Linked DNA regions of Rhinolophus ferrumequinum. The protein of the gene in region 2 purifies or fractionates together with the protein of the main gene of each other region. This does not show direct contact. Links are inferred from orthologs where the notes say so. Each region holds a gene or a part of one and is shown on either strand. Other genes may lie near its edges.

What was found.
Region 1: the proteins of EIF5 (region 2) and EIF3B fractionate together in Homo sapiens (co-fractionation; 3 studies listed by BioGRID and IntAct, with this or other methods). This does not show direct contact. The link is inferred for Rhinolophus ferrumequinum from reciprocal best matches to the Homo sapiens genes EIF5 and EIF3B.
Region 3: the proteins of EIF5 (region 2) and EIF3G purify together in Homo sapiens (affinity purification with western blotting; 3 studies listed by BioGRID and IntAct, with this or other methods). This does not show direct contact. The link is inferred for Rhinolophus ferrumequinum from reciprocal best matches to the Homo sapiens genes EIF5 and EIF3G.

What each region holds. Positions count from the first base shown.
Region 1 is NC_046307.1:43,408,397-43,415,820, reverse strand, and holds the start of EIF3B (eukaryotic translation initiation factor 3 subunit B), read left to right. Parts: upstream 1-4,388; 5' UTR 4,389-4,430; coding exon 4,431-4,881; intron 4,882-7,424.
Region 2 is NC_046289.1:1,845,828-1,853,329, forward strand, and holds the start of EIF5 (eukaryotic translation initiation factor 5), read right to left. Parts: upstream 3,027-7,502; 5' UTR 2,920-3,026; intron 2,786-2,919; 5' UTR 2,576-2,785; intron 2,247-2,575; exon of another isoform or gene 1,964-2,246; intron 1,514-1,963; 5' UTR 1,306-1,513; coding exon 1,234-1,305; intron 1,112-1,233; coding exon 1,030-1,111; intron 736-1,029; coding exon 563-735; intron 267-562; coding exon 155-266; intron 1-154.
Region 3 is NC_046301.1:40,043,123-40,050,244, forward strand, and holds the start of EIF3G (eukaryotic translation initiation factor 3 subunit G), read left to right. Parts: upstream 1-4,025; 5' UTR 4,026-4,109; coding exon 4,110-4,129; intron 4,130-4,277; coding exon 4,278-4,324; intron 4,325-4,834; coding exon 4,835-4,918; intron 4,919-5,028; coding exon 5,029-5,117; intron 5,118-5,218; coding exon 5,219-5,278; intron 5,279-6,094; coding exon 6,095-6,199; intron 6,200-6,294; coding exon 6,295-6,484; intron 6,485-7,122. UniProt on the Homo sapiens protein: RNA-binding component of the eukaryotic translation initiation factor 3 (eIF-3) complex, which is required for several steps in the initiation of protein synthesis.

The DNA.
Region 1 (7,424 bases), on a different chromosome or scaffold from region 2:
CTGATGAGGGATACATCACCACAGACTCCACTTTCCAGTGCCCACCACCCTCTGCACAAAGGACCACAGTGAAGGCATTTGTTTCTGAAAAAGGGAGGTGGCAGGATAGAACAGAGCCGAGTGGGGCAGGGCCCAGTGGAGGGGAGCGGCTGAAGCCAGCCCTGGCTGGAACGCCCCCTTCAGAGTGGAGGCATTAGCAGTCCCCGCTTCTGGGGGCTGCCTGAGAACTAGTTGAGCGAAACCGTGTGATGTCTTAGAACAGTGCCTGGCAGCTGGGTTTGTTACTGCATGGTACAGCGAGGACCAAGGCGGAAACGCTCCCCACCCTACGGACCCCTCGAGCTTGTTCCAAGGTCATGTATGTCACACTGAGGAAACAGGCTCAGAGAAGATAAAGAACTTGCTCAAGGTCCCCGGGAGTCGAACAAGGGCTGTCTGATTCCTGACCATGCCCCCCATCTGCAGAGAGGGGGCAAATCAGCCTTTGCAGAAGGCAGAGGTAGGCTTGGTCAAGTGAGAAGCGTGCATGATGTGGGCCATATTTGATGGACCCTGTGAGTCCACCTATCCCTCTTCACTCTTCTCCCTGCTCTGTGAGCTTACAGACAGCCCTGTTCAGATCAAATATCCTGCAGAAATGACAGAAACTCATCTGAGAGCTGCGTACTATGTTAGGAACGTAAGGAGTGAAACAGCAACCCCATTTCATTACCTGCAGAGGGCGGGCCGAGATCGCCACCTGGAGGCGAGGTGTTTCTTCTGCGGATTCCTTAATTCTGTCCACGACTCCCAACACCCAAAGGGGACGATTCACCTAGGAAAAGACTAAGGCCGTCAATTCAGCATCCAGCTCAGGTTACCATCTGGCTGGCAGGAGGACTACCACCAGAACTGACGGCTTTCAAGAATTGTTTTCTTTTTAAAACATTTTATTTTGGTAAAATATACACAAGATAAAATTTATCATCTTAACCATTTTTAAGTGTCCAGCTCAGCGGCATTGAGCACATTCACATTGTTGTGCAGCCATCACCACCGTTCGTCTCCAGAAGTTTCCATCTTCCCAAACTGACACTCTGTCTCTGTGAAACACTCACTCCCCAGCCCCAATAACCACCGTTCTACCTTCTGTCTCTATGAAGTGACTCCTCTAGGGACCTCATCTGACTGGAATCATATAGTGCTTGTCCTTTTCCGTCTGGCTTAGTCACTTAGCATAATGTCCTCAAGGCTCATCCATGGTGTGCTTGAGTCTTTTCTTTCTTTCCAGAATAACGAGACAATGCTCCAGCAATATTCCCCTGTGATCAACAGGATTTTTTAAAAATAGCATTATGAACAAAAGGATTTAAACATACTTTATGAATGTCATATTGAGTTTTTAGTCTTTTTGAGGCTCAAATTGTTGCAATGGGGGGGGGCCTCTTAAAGTCCTTTCCCCAAAAAATTTACTATAAAAACGTTCAAACACTCAGAAAAATTGAAAGAATTTTACAGTGAACAGTCACAAAGCATTCACTTAGATTCTACAGTAAACATTTTTCTTTGGCCAACACCACCAATACTACTTACCATCATCAAACCCTGTCTTCAGTTTAATGTATATCCTTCCAGGCCTCTTTCTATGTATTTTACATAGTTACCTATCGTATGAGTGTGCTTGGGCTGTCATAACAAAACACCACAGAGAGAGCGGCTTAAACAGAAATTTATGTCTCACAGCTCTGGAGGCTGGAAGTCCAAGACAAGGTTTCGACAAGGTTGGTTTTCCCTGAGGCCTGTCCTAAGACATGGCTGGGGCTGCAGCCATCTGAAGGCTTGACAGGGGCTGGAGGATCCACTCCCATTTCACGTGTCTGGCAAGTTGGTGCTAATGTAGGGTAGGGAGCTCAGTTCTTCCAATGGGGGCCCCTTCAGATGGCTTGAGTGTCCTCAGGACATGGTGGCTAGCTTCTTTCAGGGCCAGTGACCAGAGAGAGAGAGAGAGAGAGAGAGAGAGAGAGAGAGAGAGAGAGAGAGAGAGAAAGCCCAAGCCAGGTGGAAGCTCATCATTTTCAGGACCTAGACATGGAAATCACCTAAAATCCCTTCTTCCACATCCTGTTCATTAGAAGTGACTAAGTCCACCCCCACTTTGGGGGAGCAGGGTTTGGCTTCCACTTTTGAAAGGAGTACCTAAGAATTTGTGAACTTATCACAAATGCACCACTACACACACTTCTGTCATGTTTGGACCCACAAACGTTGCTCCGATCACACAGTCATTCTAAGACGGCAAGAATCATACATTCTTTTCTGACCAGGCACAGGCAGATCTGAGGTACGGCAGGTTCCACTCCAGACCACAGCCGTAAAGCGGATACTGCAATAAAGCGAGTCACGAGGATTTTCTGGTTTCCTAGTGCATATAAAAGTTATCTTTACACCATACTGTCAGCTATTAAGTAAGTGTTCAATAGCATTATGTCTAAAAGAATAATGTACATGCCTTAATTTAAAAATATTCTATTGCTAGAAAATGGTAACCATCTAACCATCATCTGAGCCTGTTGGAAAAAAGGCACCGATAGACCTGCTCCCCACAGGGCAGCCACAAGCCTGCAACTCGTAAAGAAAACAGCACCTGTGAAGCAGAGTACCCACTTGGGTGCTCCTACCACCTGGATATCAGCTGCAGCCCTTCTCAGACCTTTGAGGCTGGTGGCACTGCTGAGGGTGTTGGCGCTCGCTCTAGGGCACTAGCGGATATTGGAAAACGCATATTTTTTTCCCTTTCATGAGTTCATTCATAACTTTCCCTGCATTAAAGCACATGCCAAGTCCCTTCACCGGGGAATAGCAGTGAGCGGCCACTCTATGTAGCACGTGCATGCCACAGAGGTCTTCCCTGAAAAGCATGAAGCTGCCAAACCTACATCAGCTGTTTCCAAGCTTTCCGGGAGTGTCTATCCTCGATCACATCTGTCACTGTTAGCACTTTCTAGAAGAAAAGGGCTAGCAGAGCCCAACGATCTGTGAAAACTGCGGATGAAACTAGAAATTAGGAAAACTTTGACCTCTAGGAGGAATCGGTTTGTCTTTATGAAACGAGTCCACAGGCCACGCACATAAAATGGGTTACTCCCCATTTTACAGACAGGGAAACTGAGGCAGAGAAGTCAAGTGACCTGCCCAAAGTTACAGCTGAAAGTAAGATGGGGAAGATTCAAACTTAGTATGAGGCAACACAAGAACACGTTTTTTTCTTTTCAATTGAAGTAAAATATACATTAAATTTACCATTTTAGCCATTTTCACTGCACAGTTCTGTGGCATTAAATACATTCACAATGTTGTGTATCCATCACCACTCTCCATCTCGGCAACTTTTCATCTTCCCAAACTGAAACTGTTCCCATTAAACAACTCCCCGGTCCTCTACCCCCAGCCACTCAGTTCTTTTTTTGGATGATTAAAACACCTCCAACGAGCGGTTGCCCTCACGCCTGGCAATAAGCAAAGTACAAGACACAAATACAGAATACCCTTTCCGAAGGGAGCAAGCCCGAGCCAGACTTGTCGCGCCGCCTCCTGTCACTCACCGGGGGCAGCTTCCAGCTCCTGGCCCCGCCCCGGCCCCGAGCACGTGGTTCGCGCTCGCTCCCGCGTCCGAGGGCCCAGGCTTCTGCGGACAGAACCATGGTGACCATCAGAATGGGGAAAGGCGGAATTACAGCCTCCTCGATGGGCTTGGGCATACCTGATGAAAGCAACTCTCATTTACTTTTGTATTGCGCTAGAGAGCGTCTTTCTAGGAGTGCTGGCCATCTCTGGCTTACCAGGAATTCCTTTTGTATTTTGGAATCGTCCATTCTTGTGCCCAGTCAGTAGACGAGTCTAAAAACCGACATGTCAAGGGGGGGACTCAGTAATGTAAGCGAAACTGCCCGGTGAAAGGCTGAGACATCACAACCAAAATAGTTTGTTGAACTTACAATTTTTTCTAGTATTAATCTTTGAGCTATGCTTCCACACAATTCTGAATACTAAGCTGACTTCTGGTACCTCCGATCGGCGTCATAAATAGTTTAGTCCTTCGCCGTAGCGCCCGACGGGAGAAGGACGAGAGTGGCTGCCATATTGGGCGAAACCATCCTCTACCAAAAGTAGGGTGGTTATAGTTCCCAATGAGTTTGTACGTTGAGCCGAGGAACTGTGGTGATTGGAACTGAGCACGTACTTGTCAGGGGAGCACGATCGTAATCACTGGTAGACGCACTTCTGCCCTCTGAGTTCCTCCGGCCACGCTGTGAGGCAGCAGGGCGTGGACGCGCACCCCTCTGATCCTCGTGGGATGCCCCGCCGCACGCACATGGCCCGGCGGTAGGCGCGGTGCGGCCTGGGAGAGTCGGAAGCGCGGCGAGGCCGGGCGAGGCGGCAGCGGCGGGCTCATGCAGGACTCAGAGAACGTGGCGGCGCCGGAGGCGGCCGAGGAGCGGGCCGAGCCCGGACAGCAGCAGCAGCTGGACGCCGAGCCGCCACCGGCCGAGGAGCCGCCGCGGCTCGCGGGGCTCGGCGCGCAGGAGGCGGCGGGCGGAGAGGACGCGGAGGCGGAGGCTGAGGCTGAAGCAGAGGCCGGGCCGGGGCCTGAAGTGCCGGCCGAGCCCGCGGCCGACGGGGAGGAAGCGGCAAGCGCGACCCCCGCCCCGTCCCTGCAGTCGCCCGAGGAGTCCCCGGACCCTGCCGTGGGCGAGGCCCCTGGGGAACAGGCCAGGGACGCGGCAGCTGAGGCCCGGTCCGACGGAGCGGGTGAGGAGCTGGGCGGCGCGGCTGAGGACGGCGACGCGGACGAGCCCTCCTTCAGCGACCCCGAGGACTTTGTGGACGACGTGAGCGAGGAAGGTAGGGCGGCTGGGCCTGGCTGCGCGAAGGTGCTCGAGGCCCCGGACGCGGCCCGGGTCCCGGTGCGCCGCGGGAGTCGGCGGGGGGCGTCTCCATTCTACACCTGTGGTCCCGCACGTAGGGAGGCTTTTCCGTGGGAGCCCGGACTGCCTTTTCTCCAGGAGTGGGGGGGGCAGGATGAAGACAACTTGGGGAGCCGGCCATTCCTGCGGCCAGGTGTTTGGAGGTCGAGGGCAGAGGCGTGTAGCGGGCGCTGAGGCCGTGCGTGCGGCGGTGTGGCATTTAGGGTCGCGCGGAGCAGGACGCCCCACGAGCGGCGCGGTCTCTGGCGACAGTTCCCCGGCAGCAAGTCTGGGTGCCCTGAGAGTCCGCCACGGCTGTCCGGGTCCTGGAACACCCCCGGGCGGTCCCCTCAGCGGTGGGTGTGATGCCGTCCCCAGAACAGGCTGTGGGTGCCTTGTCTCTGCCCGGCGGAAGGTTGTGCCCTCGTGGAGCCCTTTCGTGGGTCTGTGCCAGGCCGTTCGGCCACGTTCCTCTCCGGGCCCCTCTTTCGGTCAGCCCAGGAGCAGGTCCCCTCCTCCTCCGGCAGGTCGTTTCTCCAGGGTTTGGGGGTGTTGACCACGCCGTGCTCTGCCCTCCTTTAGACTCACAGACGTTTCTTTCTGTTTCCTGCCTGACAGCCTGTCTTCTGAAGTGACTTGATGATAGTTGATCTTACTGTATCGTTTGCTTCTGTTTTGTTTTTAGCCGTTTGAACTCGACAGGCTTGCAGCACATCACTGTACTGACTGCTCTATAGTAAAACGGGAAGGTGGCGCCAGCAGTGACACACCAAGAAAATGAGGTGTCCCGTGTTCAGACACAAAGATTGGAGATGTGTCTGATCGCACTGAGATTGAGTCAGAATCGGAAAGAATGTCAAGCAAAATGAAAAAGTTTAGAAAACCAACATAGATTTGCCAACTTATAAACATGATTCTAAAGGGTTACCTGTTATTGTCACTGTGTTTCATAAGGTAAAAGGCACGTTAGCATGAGAAGCAGGAAAGCCCCCACAAGCTAGTGAAGCCCTGGGAAGGCTTCCCACCAAGCAGGTGGCTGGGAACTGACAGGGAGACAGTGATGCGGGGACGTCCCTGCCCAGACCAGTGTTGTTTTTACCACACGACTTCTGGTGTATTTTGAAATCTAAGTTTTGATTTTCAAAGGCCATTTTGAGCCCTCCAGTATTTACTCTGCAATTGATTTTTTTATAAAGCATTATTTGAAGACATCTAATTCACACAAGATTTTAACGTGAATTATTTCCAAAATTGTGTGTGACAGAGAATGTTAACATGAGCCCAAGGCCAGCCAGGTTAGGTGACAGCTGGGCAGACCTTTTGGAGCCCATGTAATCGTCATGTTTTTGCCAGAGTGACCTGTGAGGCTCCTGGTCCTAAGGAATTAAAACTAAGCAAACCTTCAGTTTTCTTGAGTCCACTTGGTTGTGGTCAGTAGTTCAAGTCTGTTTTGTGTTTCATGAGAACCCCCTGTAGGGGAGCTGAGATGCCCAAGGTACCGCTTCTTTTGAGAATGGACTGAGTCTCGTGCAGCGAGCGCCTCTCACAGGTGCCATGAGGTCCAGCGCTTGAGAGCAGAGCAGCCTCTCCTCTCTGAAACACTGGCCCTTTTGCACAGTTGTGTCTGAATTACAACCATCCTTTCACTTTTAATTTTCAACTGCTTATGGTGCTTGGCCAAACATATATAAAAGTTTTGACTCTTAAGTGTCTTTTTAGTTCATTAAATAGTATTTATGTTTATATCTGCTATTTAGTTTGAGAATTGCTTCTTTCTGTTTCTCTGGGAGCCAGATTGGGAATCCATCAGTCAGGAGTAACCAGCGGTGTAGGCTGGTAGTGATGATGGAAATGTGTTTCTTCACGTATAGTGACTGCATCTATTCCCTTACTGTGCACGGGCAGCTTCTTAAAAAGAATTCTTGTTCCTGTAAAGAACTTTAAGGTTGTGGGAAGGCGTCCACAGTTTGTATAAAAACTGGGCTTTTTATTGTGAACCTTGTAAACTCAGATCAGGCTGAACAGGCCACTTAATTGTATAGTAAGTGGACTTTAAAAAGAACCCAGGGACTGACTCCAGTCTCTGGGGTAGATGCCTCCGTTGCTGTGACTCGAACCTGCCTCTTTCCCTCTTCCCTCTGCTTGGTCTCAATTTTAACTTCTTAGAAATTTAAGTGGCAATTCTTTAGGTAACATTTTCAGTATCATTCATAAAGGGTTGAAATTAATTAGAAATAGTTTATAACAGGGCATGCCTCTTGAAATTAAAGGATGCTTTGCTTTTTGAAAGATTTTTCAACTTACGGAAAATTTCAAACACAAAAGTGGAGAGAATTCTTCTTAACTTTTGAGAAAGAAATGCAGCAAAAAATACTTTGTGTCCAGTTTGGCCTGTTGAAATTCTTAAGAGTATAATAAAGAAATGAGAGTGACAGTTGGGTTCCAGAACACGAGGCACTGTTCCCCAGCTGTTGTTTAAGA
Region 2 (7,502 bases):
TTCACCCATCCTAACATGATGTCTTCAATAAATCACAATGCAAGGATTGTAAGTTCCTTATATTCCAATTTATAGCAAGCAACCAACTTCCCTTTTCTTTCCAATAAACAGTTGCTTTACAGTAAGATCTTAGAAGTTCATCACGAAGACTTACCAGGTGGGTTTTTGAGAATGAATGTGCAGAGTTTATGATGTGTGTCAAGCATGCCTCGATAACCACAGGCTTTACAAGAATTACCTATTGTTTGCTTCTTTGGATTGACATGCTGCCAAAAAAAATTAAAAACAAGTATGTCATCCATTATACACGAAAATTCTGTAAGGAAAAAGTGTGAAAATACCCAACTACCATTAAGACATCTAAAACCCTGTCTTAACGTACCAAAGAATTCTCCCCCTCCTCCAGTGATCTACTTTAAAAAATTAGCATGGGAATATCTCCAAAATTTGTACATTACGTCCGCTCGGCCTTCTGAAGAACACGATTTGGAGCGATCACAGAACTGATCACAAAAGCAATGTTGTTTCTTCTCTTATTGACAAAAACTTCAAAGGCACTCACCAGCTCTGTTTCAGGATTCTCACACTCAGGACAGAGAACAAATTTTTTAATGAATCCATCCAACATGTCTTGCAGCTTATTCGCCTCATGAGATCCATTGACAATGTAACGGTCATTCTTAACATCAAACTGGGTCTGTGCTCCCAGTTCACAACCAAAATATTTGGTGGGATCTAGTTGGATAAAAAAGGTTTGATTCATTACATTTAACTCATCTTTGGCTACTCAGCCACACTGATACAAGTATCACTCCCTATGTTTTTATATTAGATTAAAAAAGTGTGTTGCCTGGGTAGTTCTTTGTACTAATGGCAACTAGCAACTAGTAAGTTGTGTTTTAACTCCAAGGTTCCACTTAACCCTTGAGCTAATTAGTAAATAATTCAGACAAGATATGCAAATCAAAAGATGATTATGACTACATCAATAATATGCCTTTTCAAACTTCTTCAAGAGACATTACTTACACGTTGGAGGCCGATTAAGCGCCTTTGCAACGTCAACCATGTTGACTATAACTGTCTTGATTCCATTTCCTTTGCCCTCAACCTAAAGAAAATAAGAATTTAATTTTGAACTGTCTACCCAGGAGATACAATCTTAAAAAAAAACAAACAAAAAAAAACTGCAAGGAGTTTAGGACTTGCTACTAAAATGAAGATCCGTATTACCTTGGCAATCAGACGGGGCATCTTGTAGCGATAGAACTGGTCTGACACGCTGCGGTTGACGTTGACAGACATTTTGGCTTATTAGTGGCTTTATCAATAAGATGAAGAGATCTTTGATTGCAACTTTTTGGTATCTTCTGTCTGGAGAAGAAGGGATGACATAAACGACTGCAAGAGTTCTCGGTCTCTGACATGAAAAAGTTTTCGCCACTGAGGCTGTAAGCTTCTTGCTTGTATGCTATGTTTCCCCAATACAGGTACCAATGGCTGCGCAACAGCTCTGAAAGAGAAAAGGAGAACACACAACCCCGCACACACTTAGCATGACTCCCGTATGGAAACGCCTCCCTTTACATTCCAGTTAGTTATGCCTAATTTTCTCATGTTGAAAAGCATGCCCGGTTCGCGTGAAAAAGGATGTGTATTTTCACCTAACACGAAACACCTGTAGCAACATAAAAGGCCTCCATTTTGATTAAGATGTGACTCTGGCAGGGAAACGCCAGACTAAAAGCAACAAACTGCGCTGCTTCCCAGCATTGTAACAGGCCAACTTCTGTGGAGTGGCCCTTATTTTAACAACTGATGAAAAACGAACACAAAACCTCTCCTCCCCCAAACCGAGCCTGTATTGATAGCTCCCATACACTCTCCCCACGAATCGTCATTTTAAGACGGAAAACTATGAAACTCTTCTTCACAAATGGTTCCTTCGGCAACAAATGCTTACTTCAAAGAAACACTCCCATAACACACAGGAAACGAGGTCTCCTTGGAGCGAGCGTGCACCGAGGGACGGAGTGGCCCGACCTCGACCTCCTCTCCCTTGCTCTGCTCTACGCAAACACACAGTTAACCTTCGCTCCCGTCCCCATGGCCACGAGTCGTTTCGTTCGCAGCTGCCAAAGGCTGCGCCCAGCACCGCCTGCGAGGCGCGACATCGCCAGGCTTGTCCTCCGCGGCAGGTGGAGCGGGCCGCAGACACCCCGCATGTGCCGGCCTCCGCGGGCGCAGAGCCACGGCACCGCGGGGCGAGGGAAACGAAACCTGCCGAGGGGCGCCAGCCCGGGCCGCCCCCGCCCCGCCCCGGAGCGAGCGATGACTCATAAATGCAGCAAGGAGGCCTGACTCAGCCCCGGCGGCGGGCCCGCGCGGCGCGCTCCCGTCAGGCGGAGGCGCGGGGGAGGGGAGAGGGGCCGGGTGTAGGAGGGGAGGGGGCGCCCGCTCGCCGGGCCCCGCCGCCCGCCCGCCCGAACTGCGCCACACGCGCCGGGTCACGCGGCGCGCCGCCATCTTGTGCGGCCGCCATCTCCCCGCCGGCCCGCGCCGCCCGCGGACTCACCGTTTTCGTCAAATAAAGACATAAACCCAACGCTGCTCGCCCGGGACTGGGATGAAGTGAGGCGCGTGTGAACCCGAGTCCGAGGAGGGGCGGCGGAGGCGGCGGAGGAGCACAGCGACCAGCGGCCAGGCAGGCGCCGCCGAGCAGCGGGGAGGGGCTGTCCCAGCGACGTCCGGGGTCCACACCCTTCAGCGCCCGGGGCCTGGCGACCTGGCGCGGAGAGACGGCGCCGTGAGCCGCGGGCGTCGGGGCGCCTTCCCCGCCAGCCAGCGGCCCGCGGGGGTCGAGGGGGCGGGGAAGGCTGGGAAGGGGGCGCGGGGCCGCCACCTCCCCACAGGACTCACCTCTGGAATGTTCTCGCTGTGACTGAACAACGCCGCCGCCGCGCTCAAGCTACCCTCGGCCCCAGCGCCCGCCCCCAGCGCCAAGCGGCACAGCCCATTGGCCAGAAGCCCGCCCGAGCTTACTCGTCATTGGCCTGCGTGCCGCGTCAATCGCAACCTCCACCGCCCCTTCTGCTTCCTGAGGCTCCACTCGCCGCCTCATCCCGCCCCCAGCTCCGGGTCCCGGCTTCCTTCACCTGCCCTCCCTTTCCCCCGCTTTTCCCAGAAGTCTTCGCGGTCTCGCGAGACCCGGTGAGCCGCGACAGCGGGCTTCGGCCGCGGGGTCGCGCTTTGTCGGTTTGGGCTCCCGGGGGTAGATGGCGGTTGGTTCTCCTCCCCTGCCGTTTGGCCTGCCGCGTTCCCGCCGGCGTTCTCCCCGTGGTGGGCTCGTAGCCTCGATGGGGCGGGGGATCGGCCCTGCCCTCTGCGTCCCCCGGGGACGCCCGCTTTCGGGTCTTGGGGAAGTTATTTTTTTCTCCCCACTTCCTAGGCCTGGGCATACAGTGGAAATTGGAGGCTGGGCCTGGGAGTTTCATTGTAGTGCTGCCCTGTATCTTCCGAAGCTCAGGTCTGCGTGGCCGCGGTGACCGTGACTCACCAAGTCACCATTGCAGGGTCGTCGTGAGGCTCCATCGCCCGCCTCCCTGGCTCCCTCCCCGGCACCCGGCCTACGCACCTAGTTTGGCAGGTCACTCGTCCATCCGTTTTCAGGACCTCCTGAAAGCGCATCTTGGAAGGGGTGACCGTGTTCTAGTGCTCCACTACCAGTGTGCTCAAAATAAGCCCAGACGGTGAGAGCCGTTCATATTTTAGTTTCGTTGACCTTACAGAAACTCTCCCACTCTTTCAGAAACATCTTGTGTAAAACTTTCAGTTGCGATTGTAAAAAGTCAGTCCACCTTGACTGTATTTGAATAAATGCATGACTAAAAGAACAAGCGCCAAGTAACGGAGCTGTTGGTTCTAACCTGCCGTGGTGGTCTCTAAGCCGCCATGGTTTCCCCAGCTTTGGATAAAGTGGTAATGTTGTTCAGGACAGGATGAGGTGGATAAGGGGCTGCCCATTGTAGTAGATCAGTCGAATTTTCAAGAAAGTTAGAATTGAAAGATACATTAATTTTATTAAAATTCAAGATCACTCTTCTATGACTTACAAGCTTTTCTAAACCATTTTAAGATTGACAGTGTCTGTGGGGAGAATAAAGAGCTAAAACTGAGAGAGGTGATTTGTGTCCTTTGGTGCAGGGGCTTTTGTTAAAATTACAGTATATACATCCGTGTAAACCACACGTGTAATACATTGTGGGTGCCAGGGTTTCCATAGGACAAACTACAAAGGTAGATCCCAGAAAGGCTGCTTCTGGGTCGCTGCGGAGCATGTCTTAGTATAGTGGTATTTGGAACGTTTGAGTTTGCATGACTACATGCAAATGACATTATTTTAGAAACCCCGTTGGAAAATAAGGGCATGAGACTAGTGTGAGGTAAGTAGCCTGCCTCCTCAGAAAAGGTATTTAAATAATACAAAGTGGTTACTTTTTTGGTGGCCCCATATTTAATTTCATTCAAAAAGTTTGTGCTAATTTTAACTTTAATTTAGAGTATGTGTACTGTGGACAAAAAAGGGGTTCTACAGAAAACAACCACAGGGTGAAATGATCCTAAATTCCCAACTGGGTGCGTCATGGTGGGTAGTCACGCCCTAGGCATATAACTTTTTAGCAAAAAGTTCATCTTTGCCTTAAGCAAGCGCTGTCTATTGTTTTTGTACATCTAGGTTAACACACCTTGAAACAAGCATAACCATCCTCAAGAGAGCACATAATGTTCTTTTTTTTATTTTTTTTATTTATTTATTTTTTTATTGGGGAAGGGGAACAGGACTTTATTGGGGAACGATGTGTACTTCCAGGACTTTATTTTTTTTATAATGTTCTTAACTGTCCTGTAATCCAGTCCCCCACCTCACTTTCTCCCACCTTCATGTAATCTTTCTTACAGTCCCTCCTTAATTTCAAATGCATGAAAGAAACCGTGAAACTCATTTTCCAAAGCATTTGAGATCTAGCTTCCCAGCAATTTATGTCAGTTTTGGCTCAAATAAACTTGTAAAAATTCTCTACAGGTTTGGACATATGTCAACAGTACCAGTCATCTGCATCTAATCACACACAACATTTTAAACTTAGTCTTAACCATTCCATTTGTTGAATGCCTCTCATAACCTAGGTATTTGCTAAGTCCTTTGAATACACTATCTTATTTACTTCTTAGCCCCTAGGAAGAATCTTTATTCCCACTTTACAAGCGAGCAAACTGAGGTTTAGTGGAAAAAAACTAAGCAGCTTGCCCAAGATAATACCTATTAAGTAGCAGAGCTAGAAGTCAGACCCAGATCTGTATGATCTCAAAATCTGTTCCCTTAACTATTATGTGACACAGCCTCTCCAGGTAAATATAAACTAAATTAGGTAATTTTCATATGTAATCTAATGTAATTCTTTAAGAGTCAATGAGGGAGTGTTGTTATGCCCGTTTTACAGATGACAAAGAGACTCAGGGAGGTTGAGTAATTTTTCCAGAGTCATCTGTCTAGTAAAAAGTGGACAGTGTTTGAACTCGAGCTTGTTTGAAGCCAAGCTCATTGCATGCTTCCGCCTCCTGTTTCTGGATCTCTTTGCCTCATTTGGCTATTCCTTCCTCCAGTCAGGTGCTCAGTTTATGGGCATTTGGTGCTTATGATATCCTTGTTGAATGGGTCCTGCATTTCGGTGTGTGCCTGGACGGCGGACACGGATAGCTGCTGAAAAAGCTAATTAGTAAATTGGCCTTCCGGTTGTTTCCATATTGGTGGCTGTGAATCTGTTTGGCATGAATTAGCCCCCTTAGCAAGATCAAGTCTGTGTGGATGGAGAACCTTGTGCCTCTGTGAGGGGCCTCTGATTGGCCAGCTGGCCTCCCTCTTTGACAACCCTTTCTCAGCTTTCTCTAACCTCCAGTGTGTTTTAAAGTGATTGTTAGTCACTTAAGTTCCTGTCGCCCCTACTTGAGGATGAGCTACAGGGGGCGAGCATGGTTTTTCTTCTTGCACTAGCCTGTCACAGTGGATGCATAGAACAGACATTCGGAGCTGCTGGAAGGGAACTGAAGGTTATCTGGTGTGTACAGAGGTGGCGAAGGGTGTGGCTGTGTAGAGGGCTAGTGTCCTAAACCGTGGTAATCTAATGCAGCCAGAGCAATAAACATTTCTGAACTGCTAGGCAGCAAAGGTACAGTCCCCACCTACACCACAGGCCCTGCCCAGGGAGGCTGCAGGTAAACAAATGTAGGTCAGTATCTGCCTGGGGGACACCCACGGAAGGCATGCGCCCCTCCGTGGCATCTCAGCCTCTGGACAGGATGTCTCCCACCTTTGTGACACCCTCCCCACCTCCTCCACACCAGTGGCATTCATGGCACTTTATTGCTGGTGCCTGTTTACTTGTCCGCCTTCCTTACTGGGCTAAACAACTTGCAGGCAGCGGCCTTGTCCTTGAAGACAACAAAGGAATCTGAACTTTGGCGGAGGACTGGGGGCCTTCAGTTTTGAAGGAGACAGAGGCAGGAATCAGAGCTGTCTGTGAGGAAGAGAAGAAGCACCCAGGCAAGGTCACGCCAGCATCCAGGAGACTGACGTGATGTCTTCCTTCTCCTGAGCACGTAACTCCCACCAGAGTCTATTTCGTGCCATTCCTGGAAAGAGAGAAAAAAGTGCAAAATGGTTTCTATTCAGTAGATGGTGGGGAAGTGTGGATGACTCGGAGGGAAGGCCTTGCTCCTGGATGGGTTGTGTCTCGGTCACATGGGAGCCACGCACAGCACCCCGGTCCAGGACACGACCGTACTAGGAGCTCCAGGCTTGCTTTGGGTCCTTTCTTCAGGGAAGCCAGGTGTGTGGCTGGGGAACTGGACCCTCCACTATACGACTCCAGTGTCAGTTGGAAAGGCATTACTCACACACAGGGCGCTGCCCTGAGAATACATGGTGTGTGCAAAAAAGGGCTGGAATAAGCCGAAGTGTTGCAAGACAGTGGGACTCCCGCTCTGATTCCAGACAGCCATTTGTAAACCTTTGTGAGAGAGCATCTCAGTATGTACCCAATCTCTGCCACACAGTGTCCTCTTTTGATGTGAATTTGGCACATTTGGTCCATTTAGACAGATGGAGTCCAGAGACCAGACAGCTAACGGATCCCTGATGGTTGGTGTCTTGTGGCCCGTGCTGGAGCCCTAGACCCACACCACCAGGAAGCACGGTGTGTCAGCTGTCACATAGGGCAAAGCTGTCGTCAGGCGGAGTTTCTGAGCATAAATCTCTACGGCTACATTCTGGGCTCTGTGTTTCTTAAAGGATGCCTATCCTAGTGTAAGGCTGATTTCCCTAAACCAGTGGCTCTTAAATGTGGTGAGCATCAGAGTCCCCAAGGGCTGAATAGAACACAGATCACAGGGCCCCCAGACTGTGATTCTAGGTCTGGGGGGGACTCAGAACTGAGATTTCTAAT
Region 3 (7,122 bases), on a different chromosome or scaffold from region 2:
ATGTCACACTTTGAAATCATTAAAGGGAGAAAAGCAAGCCTTTATCCAGAAGGAACTGTATTTGATGATAACCAGATGGTGCCTGCTGATGAGGAGAACGCTCTATTTCCGATAGAATGGCAGTTTATAAATGTAGGAGAAATAGTAGATTTAGGTAATCATTCTGCAACCCCTAATGATCTAATTTATTCAGTCAAGAATCATGGCTGGATTTGGGTGGTTTTTTTAAACCATATAAACCCTTTCAAGTGTACCATTCAGTGACATTCAGTGCACTCACATTATTATACAACCATTACTACTATTTCCAGAACATTTTTATCTTCCCAAACAGAAACTGGAGCCATTAAACACTACCTCCTCATTCCCTCCTCCCTGTACAGCCCCAATAACCTCTATTTCAATTATCTTGAGAGTATACCTAGGAGTGGGATTGCTGGATCATATGGAATTTCTGTGTTTAATTTTTTGAGGAACTGCCAAACTGTTTCCCATCACAGCAGATGGTTTTTTCATAAAATAACTTTCAAGGCACATCTGAAACACTTGTGCACTTCCCAGATCCCTGCCTACTTTTCCCCCAGACGCAGCCACTATGAGAGTGTGGCTATGTCTCCTTCCTGTCCATGGTTTTTGGCACTTACCACATCTGCATGTCCGTACACTTAGTATTCTCCGTGTCTTTGAAAAAGATAAATGTTATTCTACTGCACATATCTATCTGCAACCTGCTTTTCTCCCTCAAGCATGTTTGGAGTTTTTAGAAAAAGGCCAGCTGTAGAAAAAGTACAGTGAATTCCACAACAAACAAAATGGTCAGCGTTTGTTTCTCCTTTCAGTGTCACAAGGAAGCTTCTCTAATACCCTGTCATTGCCCCGGTGACCATTATTGTGCACATGTGTAATGTGCTTGTAGGCTTTATCTACACTCACATGTAGCCATCTGTGACTACTATTATAATAGAAAACGTGGACAGCGTCAGACAACTACTGATCAGCACCACCTCTATTCCAGTCCCAGTTCTCAGACTGGGCGTGTGGCAATACCGTAGACAGACCAATAAATTTCTGTTGTTAAAGCTGCCCAGTCTGTGGTACTTTGTCATGGAAGCTCTAGCGAACCAATTGAAGTTGTTCCTGGTTTTTGGCCATTGTGAATAAAGCTGCTATGAACAATCCGTGTCTATATTCTAACGCATGGCTTTTTGTGGACATGTTTCCATTTCTTATGGAGAACACCAAGAAGTGGAATCCATATTGTGAGTTATAGCAAACCCCCCTGAAGCTGCTGCAGAGTTTCCAGAGGACGGCATATCATGCTCTCGCTCCCCTCCTCAAGCACATTGCAGAGCTGGGTTTGCTCTGTGCTGGCTGCTGTCCTTTGGAGATGCCAGATGTAGGAAGAAAGTTGGTGCCACCAAGAAGAAACTGAGGAGGGGCTCTGGGACTTTCCCCCATCCACCCTTGGATTCAGTCTTCTCCCCACTGCCCCATGCTTCCTCCGGCCTCCTTTTACGTTTCTTTGGGAAGTACTTGACTTTTTATAAAAATGATACATCCTAGATGTTTAAGAAAAAGTATTCCATGCAGAAAAATACCAAAATGGAAGTAAAGATGAGGCCAAATCGAAACACCCAGAAGCATCCATGTTTAGTGGCTAATGTCCTCTGGGCAGTACAGTGTCTCTCCAGGGGTGGTGCTTGTATGGATGAGGCAACATTTAGCTAATTCTTTATTCATGATGGTTGCATAGTTTTCAGTTTTTCAATCCTTTAAGCCACACTGTGCTGGATACTTCCTTACAATTTAATGCACTTGGATGTATATTTCCTCTCCTAGGCTAGTCCTAGGAGAGGGTATGGAAGGTAGTGGATGTACAAAACATAGTAAAATACATTTATATGTTACATCGCGCATATATTACATAAACACTACATATTAATACATAAAGTATATAAAATAAATTTTATATTTATGTATATATTTATATTTAAATCAAGATAATATATGCATACACATGGTAAAAAATTTTAAATACAGCAGAAAAGTCCAAAAACAAGATTTTCTCCCCTGATGCCTTTCTCAGAGCATCCCTCAGCAACAGTTTGATATTTCTTTTCTGAAAATAGTTTGCATATATCTACATATCTATGTACAATTAAAGATTTACACAAATTGGTTCCTATAGCATATGCCACTTTACATCTTGCTTCCTCCTCTTATCGTGATTTTTTAAAACATGAGCACAAATGAATCTACTTCTTTCAAGACTGCATAGCATTCCATAGATAATGGAAAAAACATACTTTAATCTATTTAACCAGCCCTACCAAATGGACAGATAATTGTTTCTGACTTTTGCTATCATGAACAATCCTGCACGGGTATCTTATTTTCACATCTTTGCAAACATTTACAAGTTTTTCTCACAGTTCAAATTACTAGGTGGCTCAAAGGAAAATACATCTGTGCATTTCAAGTTTTAGTATATGTCAAATTTCCCTCCAAAAAGTTTGCATAATTTCACATACCAACAAAAGGTACAAGCCTCTGTTTCTCTACATCTTTGCTACCTTTGGGTAACATCACATTTTTAAAGTTTTGCCCATCTGCTACGTTGTTTGTATTTTGCATTTCTTGGAGTAAATTTGAGTAAGTGCACAAATGTTTATTGGCCCTTCGTACAAACTTTATATTTTCATCCTTATTTCCAGACCACCCTCTTTCTTTCACTCACTTTCCCAGTCTCCTTCCTGGTCTCTTGCTAATTCATTCTTTTCTACTTTACCCTCTATAGGCTTCCAAAATAATCTTTCTCACAAAAAAATCTGGTCATACTGGGTCACCTCTCAAAACATGTCAGTGATCTCTGGGGTGGCTGGATGGCTCAGTTGGTTCGAGTGCAAGCTCTGAACAACAGGGTTGCTGGTTCAATTCCCCTATGGGATGGTGGGCTGTGCCCCTTGCAACTAAGATTGAAAACAGCAACTGGACGTGGAGCTGAGCTGCGCCCTCCACAACTAGATTGAAGGACAATGACTGATGGGTCCTTGAAAAACACACTGTTCCCCAATATTCCCCAATAAGAATTAAAAAACAAAAAACATGTCAGTGATCTCACCCATACCCACTGCCTACAGGATAAAGAGACTACACTCTTCAGTTTGGTTTAAAAAGTCCTTTATGATCTGATTCCCACTCTGCCCCCCTAAATGCCCATTAATTGAGCACTTACTACATGCAGTCACCCTGTGGGTGCTGGGGACCCACAGGTGAACAAAGTAGGCAAATGTCTGCTTTCTGCAGCTGACATTCTACAACAGTGTTTCACATAATGAAACTTTTTTCATTATCACCCTTGTAAAGGAAAAGGATGGAATTGTCTTTAAATTTAATGTAAGTCAATCAATTTCAATTTAATTGCATTTAATTTCTCCCTAATGACAGAAATTAAATACTTAGTAATAAGATTTTGTCTGAGAGGGTTGGTTTTGGAAGGCCACAAGCCATTGTAATTTTTAAGGATTTTTGCCCCCCACCCGAATTAATTTTGGTCCCCTTGGGAGCCATATCGCTCCCATTGAGAATGCATGCTTTAAAGGGAGAGCTGTACAATAAACAAGTAAGTGTTAAAGATTATATCAGAGAGCCAAGAATTTACAAAGGAAAGAAAGGAGAGTGCTTGAGGGCGCCACTTGACATCTTGAGCATCTGAATCAGGAAGTGCTTTGGAGACGAGGAAGACCAGCCTTGCTTTTTTCAGCTGCAAAATGGAAATGATAATTTTCTCCTCACAGTGCCTAGCACACAGCAAGCGCTTAATGAGTTGGCATAATTGTTATTATTAATTATTTTACTTTATTATTTTTTTACTGAGGTATAATTAACAATTAAAAACAAAAAGGTAAAGGGATAAGCCCTGAGATAACGCTTCTGCTCCTACTTGGGTACTAGCGCGTAGCAGCTCACACAACTGGCGCCTCCCCCTCCGTCCGCAAGGGGCGCTGTGGGCCCCGCGGCCGGGCTGTTCTAGGCCGCGGCAACGGAAGTTTCAGTTTTCCCTCACTTCCTGTCTTTGGCCCAGGCTTGGGCTGCGTGGAGGTTTTGCGATGCCGACTGGAGACTTTGAGTGAGTCGAGGGTCGCCAGAAGGTGGGGTGTGGGGGCGGAAGGTGCCTTAAGGGTCCTCGGGGGTTTTCTGGGGCCTGGGTACGCGGAGGCCGCGGGAGCCTCGCCTCGCTGGCTCACCCCTTTGCTCCCACAAACTTGTCCCCGCAGTTCGAAGCCCAGCTGGGCCGACCAGGTGGAGGAGGAAGGAGAGGACGGTGAGTACGCCAGGTCGTCCGGTCACTGCGCCTGCTCTAGCCCTCTACCTTGGCACCGCCGGCCGACCCCGCATCGCCCCCCACGGCCAGCCTCTGCCCCGCGCCATCCCTATCTGCGCCAGCCTGTCGCCAATTCCAGATGTTCACTGGCCAGTCCCTCTTCCTCCCCAGGCCTCACAGCCCAAGCCCTCATAGCCGCTCCCCTACTCAGGAGGAAGTTGTAACAGCCTGCCTTCTGCCTTTGTACCAGCGCCCGGATGCTTTGATGGCCTGCCCCTCCCTGCCTTTATGCCAGGCGGCCCCCTATCCTTGCCATTGCTCTGGGTCACTACAGCCAGCTCAGTGTCCCCGCACAGCTGTCCCTGGGTACTTCCTGGCCAGCCCTCTGCCCCCGGTCCCACCTTCTTCAGGTCCTGGCGTGGGCATCATCCTAAAGGTCCCTGTATTTCATTCAGCTTGGGAGCTCCCGCCCCTTCACCTCACTTCTCCTCCCCACACTCCCTCTCACAGACAAATGTGTCACCAGCGAACTCCTCAAGGGGATACCTCTGGCCACTGGCGACACCAGCCCAGAGCCTGAGCTACTGCCAGGAGGTGAGTGATGACCTCCACTCCATGCCTGGGCTGCCTCTCTCCCCAGCCACATTTCCGCGGGGACCCCATTACCCGTGGCTCAGTTCCTCTCCCCTTCTCCCTTCATCCAGCTCCACTTCCGTCTCCTAAGGAGGTCATCAATGGAAACATCAAGACAGTGACTGAGTACAAGATAGATGAGGATGGCAAAAAGTTCAAGGTGAGGCTGGGAGCAGGGGTGTGTCAGGCGGGTCCTTGGGCCCAGGAGCCTTGAGGACAGGAAGCCCAAATGTCTCCTCTCCTCTCCTCTCCCATCCACAGATTGTCCGCACCTTCAGAATTGAGACCCGGAAGGCTTCAAAGGCTGTTGCAAGGAGGAAGGTGAGACCCTGCTCCCTTGTCTTGGGGGCTTACCCCAGGGCTAACTCAGAGGAATTAAGAATCCTTTTTCCCAGTGCCTTTATTTTCAGAAGTGAGGTCTAAGAGTTTAACCGATTTTATTGGAGGAGAATTGAGGCGAGGAGTGTTTGTACTCTGTTGAGGCCCCAAACAGTCCAAGTTGCAGGAGTGGTTGGGTAGCTTCTTATGCTTCTTGACTTGTCTACCAGGAGGAACAAAGCTAAACGTTCCCCTGAGGTGGTCATAGCAGTGGAAGTGGTAGCAATAAATCCATTTGGCACAGTTATCTGCACACTGTGTGCCAGACCCCATGCCAAATGCCCTGTGGGAAGTGTTTTCTCATTTTGATCCCCATAGCAACCCAGGGAGGTGGGGAGCATTTGTGATCCCCATTTTATAGGAGAGGAAGCTGAGGCCCAGGTTGTTTAGCCCAAGGCCCCCGAAGTTTGGATGACCCCTGCATACTCCTGAGCATTACTCCCTGGTGGCAGCTGGGCCACCACCTGCACAGCCCCCCCAGGAGCTGTTGGCTGTGCAGGTGTTTCCCTGAGCCTCTGTTCTCTCATCTGGAATATGGGGTGAGAACTGCCCCTGCCTCCTGGAGCTGGCGTGAAGCCTGGCACTCACTCAGGAAATAGGAACTGTCATCGTCACTGCTATAGGGGGCATTTGGAGAGGGTGGAGAATGGGGTTTAAGGCTCAGTCACCCTGAAGGGCGCTGTTGCAGGTCTGGGTACCAGGGGGCGGTGGTCCTACCTGCTCTTGCCCTGACCTGTCCCCACCCTGCCCTGAGCCCAGAACTGGAAGAAGTTTGGGAACTCAGAGTTTGACCTACCAGGGCCTAATGTGGCCACCACCACGGTCAGCGATGATGTGTCCATGACTTTCATCACCAGCAAAGAGGTAAATGAGGCAATAGGGCGGGAAGGTGCTGGCCAGGCTCTTGGTGGCAGGGGTGCAGCAGCCCTCCTCTGAGCTGCCCTTGTCCATCCTGTCAGGATCTGAACTGCCAAGAGGAGGAGGACCCGATGAATAAGCTCAAGGGCCAGAAGATCGTGTCCTGCCGCATCTGCAAGGGCGACCACTGGACCACCCGCTGCCCTTACAAGGACACGCTGGGGCCCATGCAGAAGGAGCTGGCCGAGCAGCTGGGCCTGTCTACTGGCGAGAAGGAGAAGCTGCCTGGAGGTGCCGGGGGCTGGGGGTGCGGCTGGCAGGCCGTGCTGCATGGGGACCATGGTGGAGGGGGAGGCTGTGTGCCCTTCTGGAGAGTCCTGGTCTGTCACCTGCTCTCTCTGAACGGGCTGTCCATCGTAGCTGTTGTTCCCACACCACAGTGTCAGCTCCGCAAAGCCTGTGGGCTACAGTCTGTGTTTGTGTGTGTGTGAGAGACCGGCCGGGTGGGTGTTGTGACGGCTGGTGATGTCACCTGTCTCCTTGTCGGGGGCTGTGAGACCTGCTTGTGTGCATGCCTGTGTACCTCACCGGGAGGAGTGGGGAGACGGCGACCCCGTGAGTGAGACATGCCTGCAGTGATTTTGCTGCGGACTGGAGATGGTCTGACGTGAGTGTGCCGTGTCTGTCTGCCATGGTGCGGCGGCTGCCCCGTGTGTGCTTCTGTGCACACACACCTGCGAGCAGACACACAGCTGACTGTCTGCGGTCCTTGTCCTTCAGCGTGATTTGCTGAGGGTAAGTTTGAGTCCAGACAGCTCTACATCTGACTTTTGGGTGCGGCGTGCTTGTCACCTGCCGTGTGTCCCCTGGGGCTTTTCCCTGCCCCATGTTGCTCTGTGGTGAGAGTAGGCTGAGTATTCCTCAGCTCT